Linked DNA regions of Notamacropus eugenii. The protein of the gene in region 2 purifies or fractionates together with the protein of the main gene of each other region. This does not show direct contact. Links are inferred from orthologs where the notes say so. Each region holds a gene or a part of one and is shown on either strand. Other genes may lie near its edges. The genes, in order: USP1 and PHLPP1.

Region 1 (9,714 bases), on a different chromosome or scaffold from region 2:
TTCCCTTTTCAAGTCCTCCTCACAACTGCCATCAGTTTCTTTCAAAGGCCCTTTGGGTCCTGAATGTGTGGTGATTTTCCCCAGACTGCAGAACTTGGAAAGGATGCTGGGCTGTTTGGTAGCAGGCTTCAGCCAGTTTACTTTGAGCCTTGATTTCTTGTGGTTCGGCCGGGCACTATCTCCATCAGCAGCACTTTTAGGCATCGTTTCAGGAGAACTTTCCAAGCGAGCGTCCCCAGCAGCTTTTCTCTTGGACCGCGTCTGCCTCTGGTTTTCTTCGGCTGCCGTGGGCTCCTTGGACAGCTTAGACTTCTTCTTGGGGTTTCCCACTTCGCTGTCACTTTTCCTTTTCCCATTTCCCTTCAGGAACCTGTCTTTCCCTTCTCCGTCATCCTCAATGGTGTTTGTTTCACTACCTTCTTTGGGAGGAGGAGGGGGAGGTGATGCTTCTGCTGGCGCGCTTCTCAGCTCTTCCTTCTTCAGGAGCTGGCATGTCTCCTGAATGTTTCCCAAGATGCACTGCAGTACCTCCTGAGCATCATGTTGCAGGTAGCCTTCATACATGGGGTTCAGCTCCCTGCAAAGAACAAGCTGTCACTCAAATGACTGCCACTGTTCTCTAACACGCAACTTCATTCTTTCCATTTAAAATAGCGCCATTAGCCAGTGACATTGACAATATTCTTAAATAAGACCCCCCCTCCTTCCCACATAGTGCATCTCCTTTTAATGACCAAAATCAACATCTCTCCCCTTGCCCCAGAAAACACAACCAAAATACCCAAATACCAAACAAACCAGCAAAAAAGCAGGTGAGTCAAGACCAAGAACCGCTCACTAGGAAATAGATTAGAATTTAACAATAAGGGCCTTTCTCTTTTAATCAGTATACAAATGCACCGAACCTCCAGTTTTTCTCCTTCGCCTGTTCAGGAAGCATGCAGCCAAAGTTGATGCTTTTCAAAATTTCAAAAAATGATTCAATAAACAAAAAGAACCTAGCAATTAACTGTTATTTGGTCATTTTAGTCATGTATAAATTTCTGTGATTTGGGGGGTTTTTAACCTTGGCAGAGACAATGGAGTGGTTTGCATTTCATTCTCCAACTCCTTCACAGATGAGGAAACTGAGGCGAACTGTGTAAAATGACTTGCCCAGAGTTACACAGATAGTAAGTATCTTAGGCCATATCTGAACTCAGAAAAGACAAGTCTTCCTGACCCCAGGCCCAGCACTCTATCCACCGCACCACCTAGCTCCCCAGAGAGTCCTAGACTCAATTTAAACTGCTTCTTGCTGTGGCAGTGGGTGGGGTTTGCACAGACAATGTTTAAAAGGCTGAACTTATATAACACGTACAACATACACACCGCAGCTCTGACATCAATGTTCTGCTGCACTGTGCTCACCAGTTTGGAGAAAACATTTAAATTTCACTCTAGGCTTTACCTCAGAGTGTTAAGCAGCCGCCGTGGCTGAGTAGCAAGTTCATCAGTGTATTTCTCTGGGTTCAAAAGAAAATTGGCCTGAAGTTGTTCCACTGAAATTATTAAAGACTGTAAGCTGCATATTAATTCGTAGCTTGCCAGGCTGTCTTCTTTGCAATTTCCCTGCAAGAAAGAAACGTAAATAAACCAATCTGATATCTATGAATACAAGGATTTTCCCCTTTTCTTCATTCCTTTCTACATACTATAAAAAATAACATCTAAGAGTAGTTTCCAGAAGCAATCTCTTGCTACCTGCACATGCCAAAATAAAAATTTAGCTTGAGTAAAGGGAATTCATTTTACCTTTTACTTCAAAGACAACTTGAAGCTTTTCTATATGGCTAAACAACTTTTTGCTTCCGACAGAAAGCTTTAGCAGGCTCCTGTCTTGATGCTCACTCAAATTGTCCACATGGCAGGTGCCAGAGCCAGGAAGACCACACAAGCCTACCCTCTAAATAACCTGCACTTCCTTATTCCCAAACCAACTCAAATGTTTCCTTATTAGCTGGAACATCAGCATTTCGTTTGAATACAGATTAAACTGCCCAATTTTACACATCACTTCTACGCCTGTTAACGGAGAGTCTCAGAAATTGCCCATCAAGTTGGATGTCTCACCCTTTCCCTGGACACAATGCCCAAGGCACTTGGATCTTAAATTCTATGGTTAACCTCAACAATGAACAACCTATGCCAGTCTAAATTGGCAATTCTATTTTGAGAGCCAGACACAGAGATCAGTGAAGCTGCTTGTTTGTGACAAGTGTGACAGGTGTGAGAAGGAAGCAGGCCTTGCCCTAACCTCCCCTAAGATTTAATCGTGGAGGCAAGATGAGCCCTGTCCGGGACATTAGGAAGGACTCCACCTCAAAGCTGGTCATTCCAGGCTTTCCTGCGGTGCCAGACGATGCACCCCCGAGGGCACACAGCCTCTGGCTTGTCTTCCCCCGTAAGAGAGGGACTCCAGGTAACAAGCCGGTCCTGCTGTCTCCGCAGGGGGCCCGCACCGCAGGGGCTCAGCACCGCTTCAGACAGAACCGCAGACCCCCAAAGGAAGCCAGGCTTCGGCAGAGAACCCGGCACTCCCGGGGAAGGCTCCGGGGTGACCCAGCCCAGGTCCCGGCGGCCGCACCGGCCCCTCACCTTGTCCGCCTTGGCATCGGCCTCCTCCTTCAGGCTCTCCCTCTTCCTCGTAATGACGTTGAACAGGTGTTTGACTCCAGTTTTAAACCCAGGACAGAAGTACAGCACCTGCGGAGAGGGCGGCGTCAGGCGCGGGCCCCGCCCCTCGCTGGACGCCCCGCCCACGCCCCGCCCCTCACCCGGAGGCCCCGCCCCCTCACCTGCAGGACGCTGTTCAGGTAGCAGGTGTTGCCCAGGTTGTTGAGCCCCACGAAGGGCAGCAGATTCTCCCGCTTCTCGCAGCCGAGGGGCGAGGGCTGGGCGGCGGCCGCGGGCACCACCTGGTCCCTGGGGAGGGCGGAGCGCGCGGATGAGCCCCGGGGGTCCGTGCCCCTCCCCCTCCCCGGGGATCCCCCCGTCCCTCCCCCAGAGTCGGTGCCCCTCCCGGGGGTCTCCCGTCCCTCCCGGGGTCCCCCCGCGTGCACGCGCACGCGCACACGCACACGTCCGGGCCCGCGCCGTCCCCGTCCCGCTCCTCCTCGTCCTGCGCGTCCGCGAAGTCCAGGGCGCGCTTCGTCTCCTTCCTCTGGAAGAACTTGAGGGACAGGCGGCTCTTCTTGGGGCTCCCCCGGGCCGCCGGGCCCTGGCTCTCGCTCGGCACCACCCCGGGCATCTCTCCCCGTCACCCGCGGCACCTGCCGGGCGCGCACAGGTCACGACCCCGCGCGCGGGACCCCCCCCCCCGCTGGGGGCGGGGCGTGGGCGCGAGCGCTCCCCGGCAACGCCCCCACCTGCCCGGAGCCCCCCCCCGACCCTCCCCCGGACCCCCGGCCTACCCCCGGGCGTACGGGGCTGGGGGGAGGGCCGCCCGTCTCCACCCGCGCCCTCCTCCGCGGGGCAGGGCGGGCCGCCAGCCTCAGTTTCCCCGCGGGGCCCGCGCGCTTACTGGCTCATGGCAGCGGCCGCCGGCGCGGCTCCATCCCCGGGGCGGGGCCGGGCGGCGGTCCGGGGCCCCGGGCGGGGCGGAGGGGGCGCTCCGGGGCTCGGGAGGCTCGGCGGGGTCCGGACGCGGCCGCCGCCGGCGCAGGCTTGGCGCGTTTTCCGCGGCGCCAGGACCCCCGCGCCGGGCGCCGCGACCCTGCCAGGCGCCGCTCGGAAACGCCGGGGCGGGCTCCGCGGCCTCGGGCCCGGCAGGCCGAGCCCAGCGCTGCCGCCGCCGCTAGTCCCCGCGACGCGCCCAGGCTCCGGGGCCGGCTCGAACGGCGGCTGCCCCCGGGCACCTAACGGGCGGCTGTGCGGTTTCGAAGGGCGCAGGCGGCGGCGCGGGCAGCTCGCGGGGTCCTCGCTGGGCGCGCGCGTGCCGGCCGAGGCCTGGCCGCCGGGATCGAGCCGCCGAAGCTCTCGCGGGCGCTCGCTCTCCCCGCCCCCACCAGCCCTGAGCGCGCGGGACGAAAGCGAAACGTACGGGTCGGGAGACGGCCCAGAGCGCGGGGAGGCGGGGCAGGAGCTCCCCGACGGAGGAGGGCTGCCGCCAATTACTCGAACCGGCCAATCCGCGACGGAACTCGAGTTCCGGCGCGTTCCCGGGCAGCCAATCGGAGAGGTGGTGGGCGGGAGCGAGGGCGGTGCGGCACGGCCTGCACCAATCACGGCGGGGAAACATCCCAAAGACGCCGCGCGCCCCTCTCCCTCGCGTTCTCGCTCCGCGCTTTGCGCTGGGAGTGGGTTCCGGGGGCGGTGGCTCCCGGTGGGCGCGAGCTAGGATTGCCTCGCTCTGAGCGATGAGGCTTGGACCAGGGGAGGGGAGGGAGAGAGGGAACGTTGGCCCTGGCGTCCCATTCCTAGCTCCCCTCCGTTACCGGGGAAACCAGATTTTAAATAAAACGGCGGCGGATCCGCGCGCCCCCGAAGGACGGTGGCCGAGCGGGGGCGGGGCCTGGCCTGGACGAGAGCGGAAGTGGGCGGGGCATCCGGAGCTCTTCTCGGCAGTTCCGGCTTCTCCCTTCCCGTCTCCCTCTAGCAGGGACCTCCGCCCCGACTTCCGCCTCTCCCTTCTTCCGCAGGTTAGCGGTCCTGACCCGGCTGCGCTTTCTTTCTGTCATGGGCGGTCATCTTTAGGCCGAGCGTGCCGCGCCGGCCCCCAGCCTCGGGCCGCCCTTGTGCCCGGTCTGCGCTGGGTGGAGGGGGAGAAGGACCCCCAGTGCTGATTACCTAGCGCGCCTCGTGGGGCAGAGCCGCGTTTGGACCGCGGCGTGCCCCGGGCCCTTCGCCATCCCGATCTTTTATGTCTACCTGGGCTAGGCTCCCCGGAGCAGCCCCGCCACAGAGGAAAGGACGCCTGAGAACCCCTGCCCGGGCCGCTGGCACGGGGAGGGGCGAGGACTGCCAGGCAGTGCCCGCTGTCGGTGCTGCTCCGGGTCATGCACCGCGGGCTCTGTGTGTGTCCGGTCACGTTCCACACCAGCGACGGGTCACCCCCGCAGGATGGTCACCTGCCCAGGGCGGTCACCTCCTCAGGACTGTCACCTCCCCAGGGCGGTCACTTCCTCAGGGCCATCACCTCCACCACTCCCCACTTGATGGGCAGCCACTGGGGGCTCTTTGGGAGCCCACGAAGCGCTGCTGTGTTTTGATCGGCGATGTCCTTGGGGCAAACCCCTGGCAGCAGAATCTCTTTGCCTGAGTCACAGCTGCCCCAACCATGCACCGGTGCCCCACCCGGGAAGGGCTGTGCCCAGAGGGGCGATCCCTGGGAGGATACCCCCTTCTCAGCCCTCTCTCCCACACGTTGGGAACCGAGAAACCGAAGACAAAGTTAACAGCCAAGAAGGGGGATGCTTTTAAAATGAGTAAACTGCAGAAAAAGAACCTGCCCCTAAATGGTTAGTATGGTGATGGAGATGGGGGTTCCGACCCAAATGAGACAAGGAAATCACAGCCACTTGTGAAGCTTCAAAGACAAATGCCAAGTGGTCACAAGTGGGAAAAGGAATTCTGGAAGAGCTTGGGAAGAACCTTAACAACCGTAAGAGAAGTAGAGGAGATTAGGGGAAAGCAGTAAGTGATGCAAGAAAGCTGTGAACTGGAAAATACCCAGAAACTTACTTCAGAAGAGAACTCCTTAAAAATTTGAACTGGGCAAGAGGAAGCGAATGAAATTCATAAGACGTCAAGAAATAATAAAATCAAAAGAATGAAAAAATGGAAGAGAATGTGAAATATCATTACAAGAATAACTGACCTGGAAACAAATAGAGAGGAAATAATATCAGGATTTTGGGGCTACCTAAAAGTCATGATAAAAAAAGTCTAGACATTCATATGTATTATAATATTATTACATATCATTATATATTATAGGCATTTTTGAGGAAAGGACCAGAACCGAACAAAAAATTTGACTTTCAAATACAAGAATCAAGAGAAACAAACATGAAAGATTCATGATAAGAGATTTAATAAGGTTAAGCCATTTAACCATCTTAGATGGGAAAATTATATTTGTAATTCTTAAGGATGTTATTATTAGATTAGTTAGAACAAGGATACATAGAGAGCTTGGGTTTGAGTTGATTATGGTGGGATGATGCTAAAAAAATCAAATTGGATAGGGAGAGGTAAAATGGAACAAATTATCTTATACCCAAAAGGCATGAACAGAAGAACTTTTACAATGGAGGGGAGAATGGGGTGGAAGGTATGTAGCGTGGGAGCCTTATTCTCATCAGGACTGGGTTAAAGAGGGAATAACTACATCTAATTGGGTATGAAAGTCTTGATTTACACAGGAACAAGAGGGCATGGGAATGAAGCAAGGTGGGGGGGACTCTTGGAAGGGTGTGTGGGTTAGGGAGGCCATGGTCAGAAGTGAACTAGACTGGTGAGGAGGGATAGGGTAAAAAAGGGGAGAAAAGGCTAAACTGGGGGAAATAGAATGGAAAGAAATACACAACTAGTAACTAATTTTGAGTGTGAATAAGATGAACTCACCCCTAAAACAGAAGCAGCAGAAAGGTTGAAAAACTAGAACCTGACAAAATGTTCCTAAAAAACACGTTTTAAAACGGAAGATATACATAGAGTAAAAATAAATGGCTAGAGTAGAATTTATTATGCTTTAGCGGATGTCAAAAAAAAAAAGCATGATCTCAAAGCTAAAACAGATTTAATTAGATAAGCAAGGAAACTATATTCAAAGGTCCCACACACAGCTAAAATGATAGGGAAAATGACAAATATTGGAGGGGATGTGAGAAAGTTGGGATACTAATACACTGTTGGTGGAACTGTGAACTGATCCAACTGAAATCATGTTCAAAGAGTTAGAAAAACATGAGTACCCTTGGACTCAGCAATACCACTATTAGGTCTGTTTCCCAAGATAATCAGGGAAAAAGGAAAAGAGCCTACCTGTTCTAAAGTACTTAGAGCTGCTCTTTTTGTGGAGGTCACGAACTGGAAATGGAAGGGATGGCCGTCCGTTGAGGGATGGCCGAGTGAGTTCTGGCTCATGATTGTGATGGAGAACTGCTGTGCTCTAAGAAATGACAAAGAAGGTGGTTTAGAAGAACTGGGAAAGGCTTGGATGAAATAAGGCAGGGTGGAATGAGCAGAACCGAGAGAACCTTGCGTAGGTTGTTTGAAGAGTAACTGGGAAGGACCGGGCTGTTCTGAGTAATATGAAGATTTAGGTCAACTAGGAAGGACTTAGGAGAGCACATGCCGTCTACCTCCACAGAAATAGCCAGCATGGGAATTTTGCTATACATATCTATTACAGGGCTTTTGTTTTTCTTTTTTTCCAGGGGGGGTTAGGTGAAAAGGACAGGAGGTAGGAAAGAGAAAAAATAAATGCTTGATAATTGGGGAAATTTTTTTTTAAATAGCATCTAAAGAGAAGTCACCTGGCTGCACTACTTTGGGTCTTCCCTGACAGACAGATTCTGTGCCCCAGAAAGCTCATTATTGAGATAATGTCATCATTCTGTAAAATCTCATCAGTCTTAGACCTCCACCCCTTTGCTACGTTCCACTTCTCTGATGGAAGAATGGGGTTATGCATTCCAAATCTTCATTTAAGGAGAGAACTCCAGCTCAGACATCTCATTTCTCTTCTGTTGTGCTACTTTGGGACTTCTCTGAATTCTCTACCATGCCCTTTCATTGGGTACCTCTCTCCACTTTCCCCTTTTTCAGCATTTTTATGTGTTTTACCCACCTACCCCCGTTACACTATAAGTTCCTTGAGGACAGGGAGGTATCTCAAAATACTCTCAAAGCTTAGTACAGTGCCTGGTTTATAGTAGGGTATCTAATAAACACTTATTTGACTAGCACTTCGTGCTTCCACAAAAACAAAGTAGTTTTTTGAAAGATCAATAAAATTGCTAGTGAAAATCAAAAACAAGAAGGGGAAAATCAGAATGGAAAGAGAGGAAGTAGTGATCAAAAACTTACACACAGTTTTATGGCAACAAACAATATTTGAATAAAATGGATGGATAGCTACAGCAATTTAAAATACCTGAATTGATTTAAAAAAAATCAACAAACTAGTTAACCTAATCAACTCCGTCTCAGAAAGAGAAATTGGATAAATGATAAATTCCATAGGAAAAGACACCAGTAAATCATAGACATTTATTTATTAAATACATTTTTCACTTTGTTAAATATTTCCTTATTACATGTTTAAAATTTTTTTAAATTTTGAGTTCCAAATTTTGTCCCTCACTACTGCCCCTCACCCACCCTTTGAAGAGAAAAGCAGTATGTTACTGATTATACATGTGAAGTCATGTAAAATGCATTTCCATATTAGCCATGTTGCAAAAGAAAACACACCCCCCAAAAATAATAAATTACAAAAAGCATGTTTCAGTGTAGACAATATTTAAGGAATAAGTAATCTCCATGCTATGTGAAGTCTTCAAAAATTGAGAGGGAAGAAACTTTATTTCATTGTGCTCAGAGGGGAAGAGCCCAGGGCATGCCTGGAGAAAAGGAATTGTTTGGCTATCAATTAAAAGTGAGTCACAGACAACCCTGCTTACCTGAACAACACCGCCAACACCAACTGCAAACCTTGGATGAAAGCAAACAGGCTTACCTGTCTAGAGGAGAACCATGCTGTAACCAAAATGACATCGAGCTACTTACTGATTGACGTTCTAATTTTGGTGAAAGACCATTTAAAAGGTGCAATGAAACGGATGACAGTTTGGGAAAAGGTTTATTTCTAAATTTTCTCCATATGCAGCTCTAGGCAGCTGGGTGGTACAGTGGATGGAGTCCTAGACCTGGAATCAGAAAGATGGGAGCTCAAATCTCTCAGACAGTTTACTAGTTCAGTAGCCTTGGGCAAGTCATTTAACCTGTATCTGCCTCATTTTCCTCTTCTATAAAAGGGCATAAGGGCACCCACTTTTCAATATTGTTGTTCAAGATTAGAAGGTGTAATATTTTGTATAGTACTTTGCACTGTAAAACTGCCATCTATTACTATGCTGCAGAAATATGATTCCATAAGAACAAAACATAGCGAAAACTTCAAAACACAACCCATCTGTAAATTGCCTTGAAAGTGGTTTAATTGTGACGGTGTTCTGCAGCAAAAGACAGTGTCTTTACTAAACAGAAAAGATGGTCTTAATAAAAGCTAATGATATAAGGACTGAGTTTACTGGCCAGTCTCACCCTCCCCTCACCTCCCCTCACCCCCATCTCAGTTACTAGCTGTGTGACCCTAAGTAAAACCTTTAATCTTTCCGAACATTGGCTTCCTCGGTTATGAAATAAGGATAATAATTACTGTGTCATACAAGGAATAAATGAGCTAATACATTGGGAAAAGTAATAATTGCTTAATGATGCTACTGTAGACAAAAGGTTTTCATTATGGTAGGAGTAATTTGACAATGAAAAACAGTACAATTCAGGGCATCTTGACCCAACATCCATGAACTTTTAAAAAATATATTGTTTTGATAACTATTTCCATATAATTGATTTCCTTTGTAATCTTATGCATTTTTAAAAATTCATTAAACATTATGTTTCTGAGAAAGGGTCCATAAGCTTCACCAAACTGCCAAAGGG
Region 2 (10,237 bases):
GGTATAACTTTTTTCAAAATAAGTTTTCATGAACAGTACTATAAATAGATACATGAGCTTCAGATCTACTTAAATTAATTTTATCCCTCAAATAAATGTGAAATTGAAATCCCAAAATAACCTTTCCTTGATTTTAAAGAATACACTAGTTTATATAAAGCAACATAGAAAAATAATTAGGTTTCCCAAGAGAAAGAAAATTCTCAAGTGATAAATATTAAAAATTAAATTTATTTTAAAAATAAGCAGCATTTAAATACAGAATTTTTTTTATGGTTGCATAAAATGACTCAAAACTTGAGTCTTTCTTAATCCTAACTACATTAAACAGAAAGACAACACTGCTACTTAATCATGAAGTACAAAATGAAGCTATGGAGAATATTTCAGCAATGGCAGCTGAATTCTCTCATTCTCTTTGCAAAGGAAGTTATTCAGAACACTGAAATTGGCCTATTTATATCTTTGCAGGAAAGAATGATTGCAACATAAAACACCTGACTGCCCTACTATGTGCTATTATTTAGACAACTGTAAGTCTCCCAAATACATGGGGTTGAGGGTCACCTTGACTATGAGATCACTTTTTGGCAAGATCTTTTTATTTTTCAACAATTTAGACCAATCTCATTAAACTGTTATCTGTAACAAGTGTTGTATCGCACTCCTAGAGTATTCACTTAATAATGTCTTGGTCCAAAGTAATTCTGACTTAAGAGCACAAATGTAACATAGAACAAAAGATTTATAAAAAAATCTGACAAGTTCTTTATCTGAACCTGGCTCCAAATTCATGTTTTGATGTAGGGTAGTGACATCAGTGTTTAACAGTATTAATTAGCTTTCATATTTTCAAAGAGGAAAAAGTAATGTGAAATCTTTGCAATATTTTGACAAAGCAGTGATGCTAAATGGAACACTGGCAAAATTAAAAATACAAAATATCCCTTTTGATTTTGAGACATTTGCTGATTATATTTACTTTGATCATGAAACTGACCTACACTCTAGAGTTACATTAGACATGTTTTTGCTACAATAGTAATGTTTAATGCTTTGATAAAGTAATAATATTTTACAAATTCTATTAAAGACAGGAAAAAGACAAGGAACTACCGGAGTGAAGAAAAAAAAATCACCCAGTTTCTAACCTGTAAAGAATTTCAAAAGTTGAACATTTTACTTCATTACATTTATCACTTTTGAAATAAACTTCATTCAATTAAGACATTGGCCGTATTTTCCTAATCTAAGAGAAGCAATGAATAATTTTAGAAAAACTTGAATGAAACTCAATGCAGGAACATCTCTATAGTCTGGCCAATTTTATCTCTATATATAGGAATAAACTTTTTGCCAACAGATCAAAACTCAGTACCAACAAAAACCAATTGGGGACATAAAAATTCTTGCAAATTTTAATATTTAGCAATATAAGAATAAGAGGAGAGCTAGAATTTATAGAACATCACACATTTGGGATAAGCATATACATTTGTTATTCTGTTCCTGTCAAAATACTGGAAAGTTGGTAGGAAATCGCTTATGCTTTAGCTAGGACATGCCATACTTCTCATTAAAAAAAAACCCCTCAGACTAGAGAAAAGTAAGGATGTAGATGGTTTACATATAAACCACAAAAATGTCAACTAGAATGTTGTGTTCATCCCTTCCAAAAGTCGGCATCTCCCCAAGCTCTTAGCTGCAAAGACAACCCCAGTCAACCTGGGACTGCAGAAGACAGAAGGGGCTTCAGATCAAACCTGAAAAAAGGACTAGGTAAGCATGCTGTTCATACCTTCTTGTGATTCAAATATGACCTGGCTACTAACAAATGACCAGCATCTATGCTAAGTCACAGTGGAGGATTTCAATGGTCAGTTCTTCTCTGAATTAAAACCACCAAGAAGTAACAAAACAAGAAGAGGCAGCTGGAGTAATCATTTTAAACATCAGGATGAAACCTGAAATTGTAGCACAAGGAAGAAAGTGAGGGAAAACATTGAAGAATGTGTCAACAAAAGGTGATCAGGAAAAGAAAATCAAATGTCAGGAGCAAAGCAAGGGCACTCAGGTTTCTTAGGGTTGTTATGAACACAGTTGAGTAGAGTAAAAATGAGCTCCCATACATTTTTGCCATTATTTTCTATAAAATAAAAATCATGCATGACAGAGGAGTCTCTTGAAATCAAAAACTGTCTCATATCCATAGTCCAACTAAGAAGGAAGGGTCTCCAGGGTGAGCAACCTTAAATATGCTCAGTACGGTTATCCAAGGTAACACACTTTACTTCTGGGATTAAGCCACCACCACCATCCTCACCCTCAGGACTTTGACTAAAATCTTAAAGATTAGGAAATTTTTCATTTTAAGATTAAACAGTTTTGAAGAAGCAACGGATGGAAACATGTAGGAGGTCTTATGTTTACTTGGATAAGTTGACACACTCAAGAGAAGGGTGAAAACACTTTCTTCTCCGCTCAATACCAAGGGGATGGTGTCTTGGGGTAGACGACCTCGAGGAACAGGGTTCTGGTCTTACCTGCATAGAAGCGGATGAGGCACCCGATCTCCGAATCCATGCCCTCCTCCTGCACCCTCCACAGCTCCCTAAATCCCAGCTGGAAGAGGTAGTCATTTTGAATCTGCAGGGGCTTCTCGTGTGCCTCCAGCCGACGGGTCGTCTCTCCGTGAAACTGCACGTACAAGGTGGGCATCGGGACGGTCTTGTCCGCGGCTCCTCCGTGCCCAGGCGGCGACGGAGCGGGGACACCAACTCCTCCGGGCGCCTTCTCCAGAGGCCCGTCCTGGGCGACCCCACCGCGGCTGTCCACCCCCTTCGGGGTTTTCGGTGGTGACTGCGCTGGGCCAGCAAGTGAAGAAGGATGGAGTGGCGGGAAATCGCCGGGCTTCTCCGCCACCGGCCCGCCCGCCAGAGACGGAGCCGAGCAGCCCGGGGGAAGGGCGAGGCCCGACCCCTCCGTGGGCGTCGGGGCTGGCACAGGGGCAAGGGTGGAATCGGCCTCCAGCTCCTCCGACGAGGAGCTGCCCCCGCCCCCCCCGCTGCTGTAGGGGTCCAGTCGGTCCGACACGCTCTCGGCGCTGGGGCTCAGGCTGAAACTCTCGGTGTCCGAGGCCGGGCCTCCCACCACGCAGTCCACCGGCCGCAGGTCACCCAGCAGGGAGCCCGGGACCCCTGCGTACACATCCCCCGGGCTTAAGTCCGAAGGCGCCGGGCTGCCGTGGGTCAGGCACCCCACAAATCTCCCCGCGTCGCTCCGGAGCGGCAGATCCCCCGGGGGCGTGCGCGGCTTCCCCCCGACGGCGGGCTCGACGAGCTCCCCCAGCCCGTTCTTCCTCGGCGGCCGCTCCCCGGGCTCCTCGTCCGGCGCTGTCAATTCGGGGCCCCGGGCCACCTGCCTCTCGCAAGCGCCGGAGGGGACGCCCCCGCGGCGGGCCGTCGGGGCGTCCGAGGCAGGTCCCAGCCAGTGCGGCTGCGAGGGCCCCCGACCCACAACCTTCATGACCACGCCGCCGGCGCCGCCTTTGTGCCCCAGCTGCAGCAGGCGGGCCGCCACCTCTCCGGCCGTGGTGTCCAGCGTGCAGAGCACCGGGCGCAGGTAAGTCGAGGCCATGTGGCGGTCGAAGACGTGCACGCAGCCCCGCTGCAGCTGGTGCCTCACCCAGTCGCGGTCGGACGGCTGCAGCTGCATCATCTGCCGATGCTTCAGCAGCAGCGTCTTCCTGTCCAGGCTCCGGGTGCACAGCGACGCCGAGGCCGAGCCGGAGGCGGCCAGGCTGGCAGCGCTGGAGGAGTGGGAGGCGGCGGCGGCGGCCGAGGAATTGGAGGAGGAGGACGAGGTGGCGGCGGCGGACAGATTCCTCTTCAGCCGCCCCCTCCGGAGGAGCAGGGAGTTGGCGCCGCTGCCCGCCCCGGGGGCCGGGGGAGCCCCGTTGGCCGCGAGCAGGGGCGCCCCTCTCCTCCTCCTCCGCACGGTGCCCCCGGCTTTGCCCGGCAGCGGCCCGGCGGGGGCCTCCTCCCCGGCCCCACCGCCCGGGAGGAACTGCATGGTCGGGGTCCCCGAGGGCAGGGGGCTGCCTGGGCTCCGGCCGCCGCCCCCCGCCGCCGCCGCCAGAGCCGGAGCCCGGTCCTCCCTGCTGGTCTCTGGGAGTCGCTGCACCGTGGCCGCGGCGGCGGGCTCCATTGCAGTGGAGCTGTGCGTCTCCCCCCCCAGCTCCGGAGCCAGGAGAAGGGAGCGGGAGGAGGTGAAGCGAAGGTGGGAGAGGGCGGCGGCGGCGGAGGAGGAGGAGGAACCGGGAAGGAGAAGCCAATGGCGTTCGGGGCTGCCGTTCCAGGGGATTATGTGGCAATTCGGAGCATTCCGTCGGTGTCTCGGGGTTCCATCCCGCTCGCCCGCCTCACCGCCTCCGCCTCCTCCTCCTCCCCGCCCCGGACTCGGGCGCCCAGGCCTCTAGCCACGCCCCCTCCCCCCACCTTCCCGGGCGAACCAGCAGTCCTGGAGACGGGCTCATTGAATATTAATGAAGCTGGGGTCTGGGCCGGGTGGAAGGCGGGAGGGAGCGAGGGGAGGGGAGCACCGTGCCGGGTCATGAATATGCATCGTTGGCGTGACGGCATTCCACGGCGAGATGGGGCGGGGCACGGGGAGGGCCCCGAAGAGACCGTGAGGGAGGTGGGGCTTCAGGGTAAACAAACGTGACGCGTGCGTACAGGGGCTGTTTCCTGGGAGGTTTCTCTCCGCCGCAGCTCCGGAGGAGGCCGCCAGGTGGGAAAAGGAGGAGGAGGATGGAGGGTGGGAAATGGAGACCACGAAGCTACGCGCAGCATCATGGGAAATAGAGTTCTGAGTGAATAGGAAACTCCCCGCAAGTGGAAGCCGAAAGACTACGATTCCCGGCGGACCTTTCGCACCAGCCCACCCTCTCTAGCCCTGGAGCTGGGCTGTGTGGCATGGGAACGGTGCCCTCTACTGTTGGGCAGGGGGCTGGGAGGGGCGTGCTTTGGGTCTGCCCCTGGTTGCTGCCCGCTGCCTGGTGACCATTAAGGACACTTAGCCGCAGGTACCTTTCCACCTTGATCCAGTGCCTCCGTGGGTGTGTGGGCCCTTCACACCCTTCTCCTCCCTCACTTCCTCCCACTTACTACCCACCCCATACTCCTTCAGCTTTGGGCGGGGAATCGCATCTTTGTGCACTGGAGGCTGAACCGGGTTTGCATCCGAACACCGCATCTGTAAGACCCTTGACCTTGGGCAGGTCACCTCCGGGGAGTATCCCTCAGATTCCTTATCTGTGCCGGGAAAGGAGGCTCCATAGACAGAGCACTGGGCCTGGAGTCAGGAAGACCGGGGTTCAAATCCAGATGCAGACGCCGACTAGCTGCGTGACCCCGGGCAAGTCATATCCGCTGGAGAAGGAAAGGGCAAACCACCCCGGTACCCTTGCCAAGAAAACCCCCGACAGTAGAGACCATCGGGTCACAAAGACAGAGACCAGGGAGCCGCAGGAAATTGAAGGCGGGGGCTAGATACAGCCAATCAATCAAAGAGTTTATTAAGCACCTTCTCCGTCCCAGGCCCTGTGCAAGATGCTAGGAATGCAGACAATCGATCCATCATGCGCAGGACAGGAGGAGCTGACAGAATGATGCAGATCATGTAGAAGGTCCCTGCTAGCTCTCAATCAGTGATTTGCTTTCCCATGACCTGCCCAAGAAACCCTATTTAAAGGGAGAGTGTGGACTATCAAATCCTTTTCTCTGGGCCAGAATAATAGGATTTTGAGGATACATTAGAGGATATATTGAAGTACACCCAGACCAGGAACTCTCAAAGTATAGGCCTAAACTTTCCATAATGATAGGGTATGTTCATTTCTAATATGGTAAATATCAATAGATACTGACAAAACCACATAAAAACTTTTTTGGGAGGGGTTCTCAATAATTTGGGTACAATGGGTAGAGTGCCGGGTCTGAAGTCAGAAAGACTCATCTTCCTGAATTAAAATCTGGCCTCAGACACTTACTAGTTATGTGACCCTGGGCAAGTCACTTCACCCAGTTTGCCTCAGTTGCTCATCTGTAAAATAAGTTGGAGAAAGAAATGGGGAACCACTTCAGTATCTTTCCCCAAAAATCCCTGAATGGAGTCCTGAAGAGTCAGACGCAACTAAACAACAAATAACAATAATTTTTAATAAACCTTCTGGCTTAGACCAACAGCTTTTTTTTTTTTTGCAGATGAAGACTTTGAGTGAGACTCGGAAAAAACTTGGTCAGGAAGGATTCTTATGAAAGGGTTAGAAGTACTGAAGTCATGGAACTACTGCTATCTCCAAAGAACTAAAAATAAATATCACACAGAGAGCAATGGAGAGTTACAGAGAAAATATAAGCAGGCTACGATACATAACAAAGGAAGGAATTTCAGAGAATTCAAGGATGTTATCAAGGAAATTTTAATAAAGGTGATGAGGCCTAGACCATATGCTCTTCTAGAATCCTAGCAATGGGGTAAAGAGAAATTGAGGAAGGCCTCCAGCACCCCAGGTGAACACCCTCTCCCAGAACTTAATGGAGGAGATAGGAAAGAATCCCACAGGATAAGCAGACATGCATGGGTTACAATCTGCATGGCTAGAGGGAATGCCCTTTCCAATGAAATCACAGATCTACTGGAATTATTTTAGAAAAGGCTCTATGATCCATGTTAAATTTCAGTCTTGTCCTTTCCTCCTTACATTAGTCACTCAGCACACTTCCCAATCTTCCTTGCACAAAGGAAAGAAATTTCTCATATTAATCTTATATTTCTGATTTCTAGAGTTTAAGGGTCAACCCACTACTTTGGAACTTTATTTTTAATCATAAACTACTGCTTTGTATCACTTCTAGCTTCTGGAGTACTCAACAGTTTATTTGAGACCACTATAAGAAATTACTGAACTATATCCGCTCTTGTCTCTAGTTCCTCTCTTTACCCATCCTTGTTAGAAGTTTGTTTTTGTTTTTAATTTTATCATCTCTGTCTTTTCTCTTCTGAAGATACTTATACACAAAACATTTCTTTCCAGGAAAGATCTCATTGCTCACCGGGTTCCTATTGCCTGTGGAGTTTTTCTTTGTTCACTGTTGTGAGCTTAGATAATACTGTTTGTCGGCAAACAAGGGAATATTTTTTGTCCTCGTATATAGGAGTTGCTTTTGTTCTTTGTAGAGGATGAAAGGAAAGAAAATATAAAAATTTCAATAACAAAATCATTTGAAATGCTAGAAGCTGAGCTAGTATTTAATATTACAATATTTAGCAATACAGTTTGAAATTTCCAAGATAATCTCAATTTATTTCCTAATGGACTTAATCATTGATCAAACTGGAATATTGTTAGTAGTCATAGTTAAACAAATTAGAAGGTTATCCATTTCTCTGATCCTCACAATCTGGCAAACTTCCCCAAAATAGGCATTAGGCACAAGAGAGAAAGCAATTTTACTTATCTCCAAGGTCTAAGATACCAAGAACCTTAATGATAGAAAAATCAGATGAATAGCAGAAGGAACTAATTCTCATTCTAATTTCTAACCTATTCATCTTCACCATTCCTTTTCCTATCACCTACTGTGCTCAGCTAGGTAGTGCAGTGCGTAGAGCACCAGTGCAGGAGTTAGGAGGGTCTGAGTTCAAATCTCCCCTCAGATACCTGACACTCACTAGCTGTGTGACCTTGGGCAAGTTGCTTAACCCCAACTGCCTCATCCTGGGTCATCTCCAGTCATCCTGATGAACATCTGGTCACTGGATTCAGATGGCTCTGGAGGAGAAGTGAGGCTGGTGACCTTGCACAGCCCTCCCTCACTCAACAAACAAATTCAAGTGCAAGTCCTGTCATCATTTCTCTGATGGCATGGTCTTCTTGTCTTCTTCACAACAAAGGATGAACACACACACTATGCTCTGACAAATCTGCATAAGCCTACCCACGGGCATGTAGAAGAACTACACATTACCTGCTCCCTCTTTTCCTCCCAGTACCATGGAAAATCAAAAGGCAGGAGCTTACTCTGGCTGGAACAGAATCGTGACAACACAGCACTCTGTGTGGCAATTGTACTCAACCTAGAACACTGAGGAAAAGAGGGGCGTATATGTAGCATTCCAGTAAACCAAAGTAAAATGATCTACCATCCAGATGGGGCTGGTTCTGTCCTCCTAAAAATCACATGAGGCAGAAACTGAGGCTGGTGAAATGTGAATTGCCTAGCGTGAGAGGAAGCTCCAATGGCTCTGACCTCTAGCCCCCATCAAACTGCCATCAAAGGGGAAGGAGTCAGAAAGTGATCAAAAGAGGGGAAAGGGGAAACCATAAAAATCTCAGAAAAAAAGACAAGGAGAAAAAAAGGAACAAGTAAATAAACAGGAAATCTATTAATAACAGAAAGAATATGGCCTCTGGACTAGCTAAATCAGTCCACACATCTATGAATCAATATTGCAAGAAAAAGGAAAATGATGAAAAAATATAATACTTGGTAAGGCAGAAGACTCTGTGAATTCCCAAGAGAACACAAAACTACAAGAGATTATTCCTGAATTGTTTAAAAGAGAAATAAGGATTCTAAAAGCAGATTTTATGGCCTGTAAAATAGAAATAATGGCAGAGTATAAAAACTTGAATCCATAGTGGTAATTCTCAGCAAAGAGCAAAAAGGGGGATTACTGATTGGGAATGCAAATACACAGAAGTAAAGGACAACCTGGAAGAGAAAAGCAAAAAAGCAATAATATTAAAAGAAAATATGATCCCCATGCAAGCAAAAAGTTTCATACAGACAGATTACCTCAGAAGAACCCTGGTCAAAAAAACCCTGGTCATAAGGCAAGGAAACTGTCCAGAACTTTTGAACACAGAAAACTAAGAGCCAATCAAAGTAATCCACAGGCCACTTCAGAAAACAAACCTTAGCTTGCAGATTTCAAGATATATAGTGATTAAATTTAACAGTTCTACTGAAACAAAAAATTCTGTAAGGCACCAGGAAAAAAGACTTTCAATTATAAAGAAAAGAAACTTCAAATTTCCAAGACTATTTTCATCCATCAGAAACCACAGAAAGGAATGAAATAATATATTCCAAAGAGCAAAGCAATTCAAGATATAATCCATGGTGAAATTTCCTGCAAACCTGAACCTGATAATGAAAAAAGATGAATGCTCAGTTTAAAAAAAAGAGGCATTTGAAGCGTTCTTAGAAAGAAAAGACTAATTAAATAGGGCAACAAACAATTAGGCTTTAAAATGACATTAAACATGTACCATATCATGTTCTGGATAAGTAAAGCATCTTTCACAAGGTAGGGATTCACAAAAAAGAAAAAAAAATGTTTGTTAACCGTATTAGTAAATTAAATGCAAAGAACAGAAAGTTACTAAACTATTCATATTCTTTGACCTAATGATCCCCACTGCTGAATATATAATTCAAGGAGGTCAATGAGAGAAAGATTTATGTATACAAAAATATAACAACATTTTTTGTAGAAGCAAAAAAATATAGACAAAATGATACCCATCCCCTGGGGAATAACTAAACAATATACTATAATGGAACATATGAACTGTATGAAATTATAAGTAAGCTGAATTCAGAGAAATGTAGGAAGACTTGTGTGAACTTATGCCAAACAGAGAAAGCAAAGATAGAAGAACAGTATGCAGTTTTTTTGTTTGTTTCATTAACGTTTAGGTTCACGTTTCCAATCTTTGTGGGCAACTCCCTCATAGTGAAGACATTCCTCCAACAATGCAGAGCAACGACATTCCTCCAACAATGCAGAGCAACTATTCCTCTGTATATATATATATATATATATATATATATATATATATATATATATATATATATATATATATATATATATATATATATATATATATATATAACTTATGTACTTGAAGAGTTTGCAGGACAACTGACATGTTATTTGCCCATGGTCACCAGGTAGTATGTCAGATTTGAACATAGGTCTTCCTGACTCCAAGACCAGTATTCTCTGCCTCTCATGCACAATAATTACAATAATGTAAAAGAAAACAACACTAAAAAATATCAGAATTTAATGCAATGACTAGTCTTGGCTCCAGAAACTGAAAATGAGACACATATCCTTTCTCTCTTAGAGGAGAAATATTGAAGTTAAGAAATTTTGCATACAT

Evidence for each region.
Region 1: the proteins of PHLPP1 (region 2) and USP1 purify together in Homo sapiens (affinity purification with mass spectrometry; 6 studies listed by BioGRID and IntAct, counting the BioPlex papers as one, with this or other methods). This does not show direct contact. The link is inferred for Notamacropus eugenii from reciprocal best matches to the Homo sapiens genes PHLPP1 and USP1.

The regions. Positions count from the first base shown.
Region 1 is NC_092873.1:523,062,019-523,071,732, reverse strand, and holds the start of USP1 (ubiquitin carboxyl-terminal hydrolase 1), read right to left. Parts: upstream 3,688-9,714; 5' UTR 3,563-3,687; intron 3,312-3,562; 5' UTR 3,290-3,311; coding exon 3,120-3,289; intron 2,965-3,119; coding exon 2,838-2,964; intron 2,746-2,837; coding exon 2,638-2,745; intron 1,612-2,637; coding exon 1,451-1,611; intron 578-1,450; coding exon 1-577. UniProt on the Homo sapiens protein: Negative regulator of DNA damage repair which specifically deubiquitinates monoubiquitinated FANCD2. Also involved in PCNA-mediated translesion synthesis (TLS) by deubiquitinating monoubiquitinated PCNA.
Region 2 is NC_092875.1:394,972,977-394,983,213, reverse strand, and holds the start of PHLPP1 (PH domain leucine-rich repeat-containing protein phosphatase 1), read right to left. Parts: upstream 4,447-10,237; 5' UTR 4,207-4,446; coding exon 2,544-4,206; intron 1-2,543. UniProt on the Homo sapiens protein: Protein phosphatase involved in regulation of Akt and PKC signaling.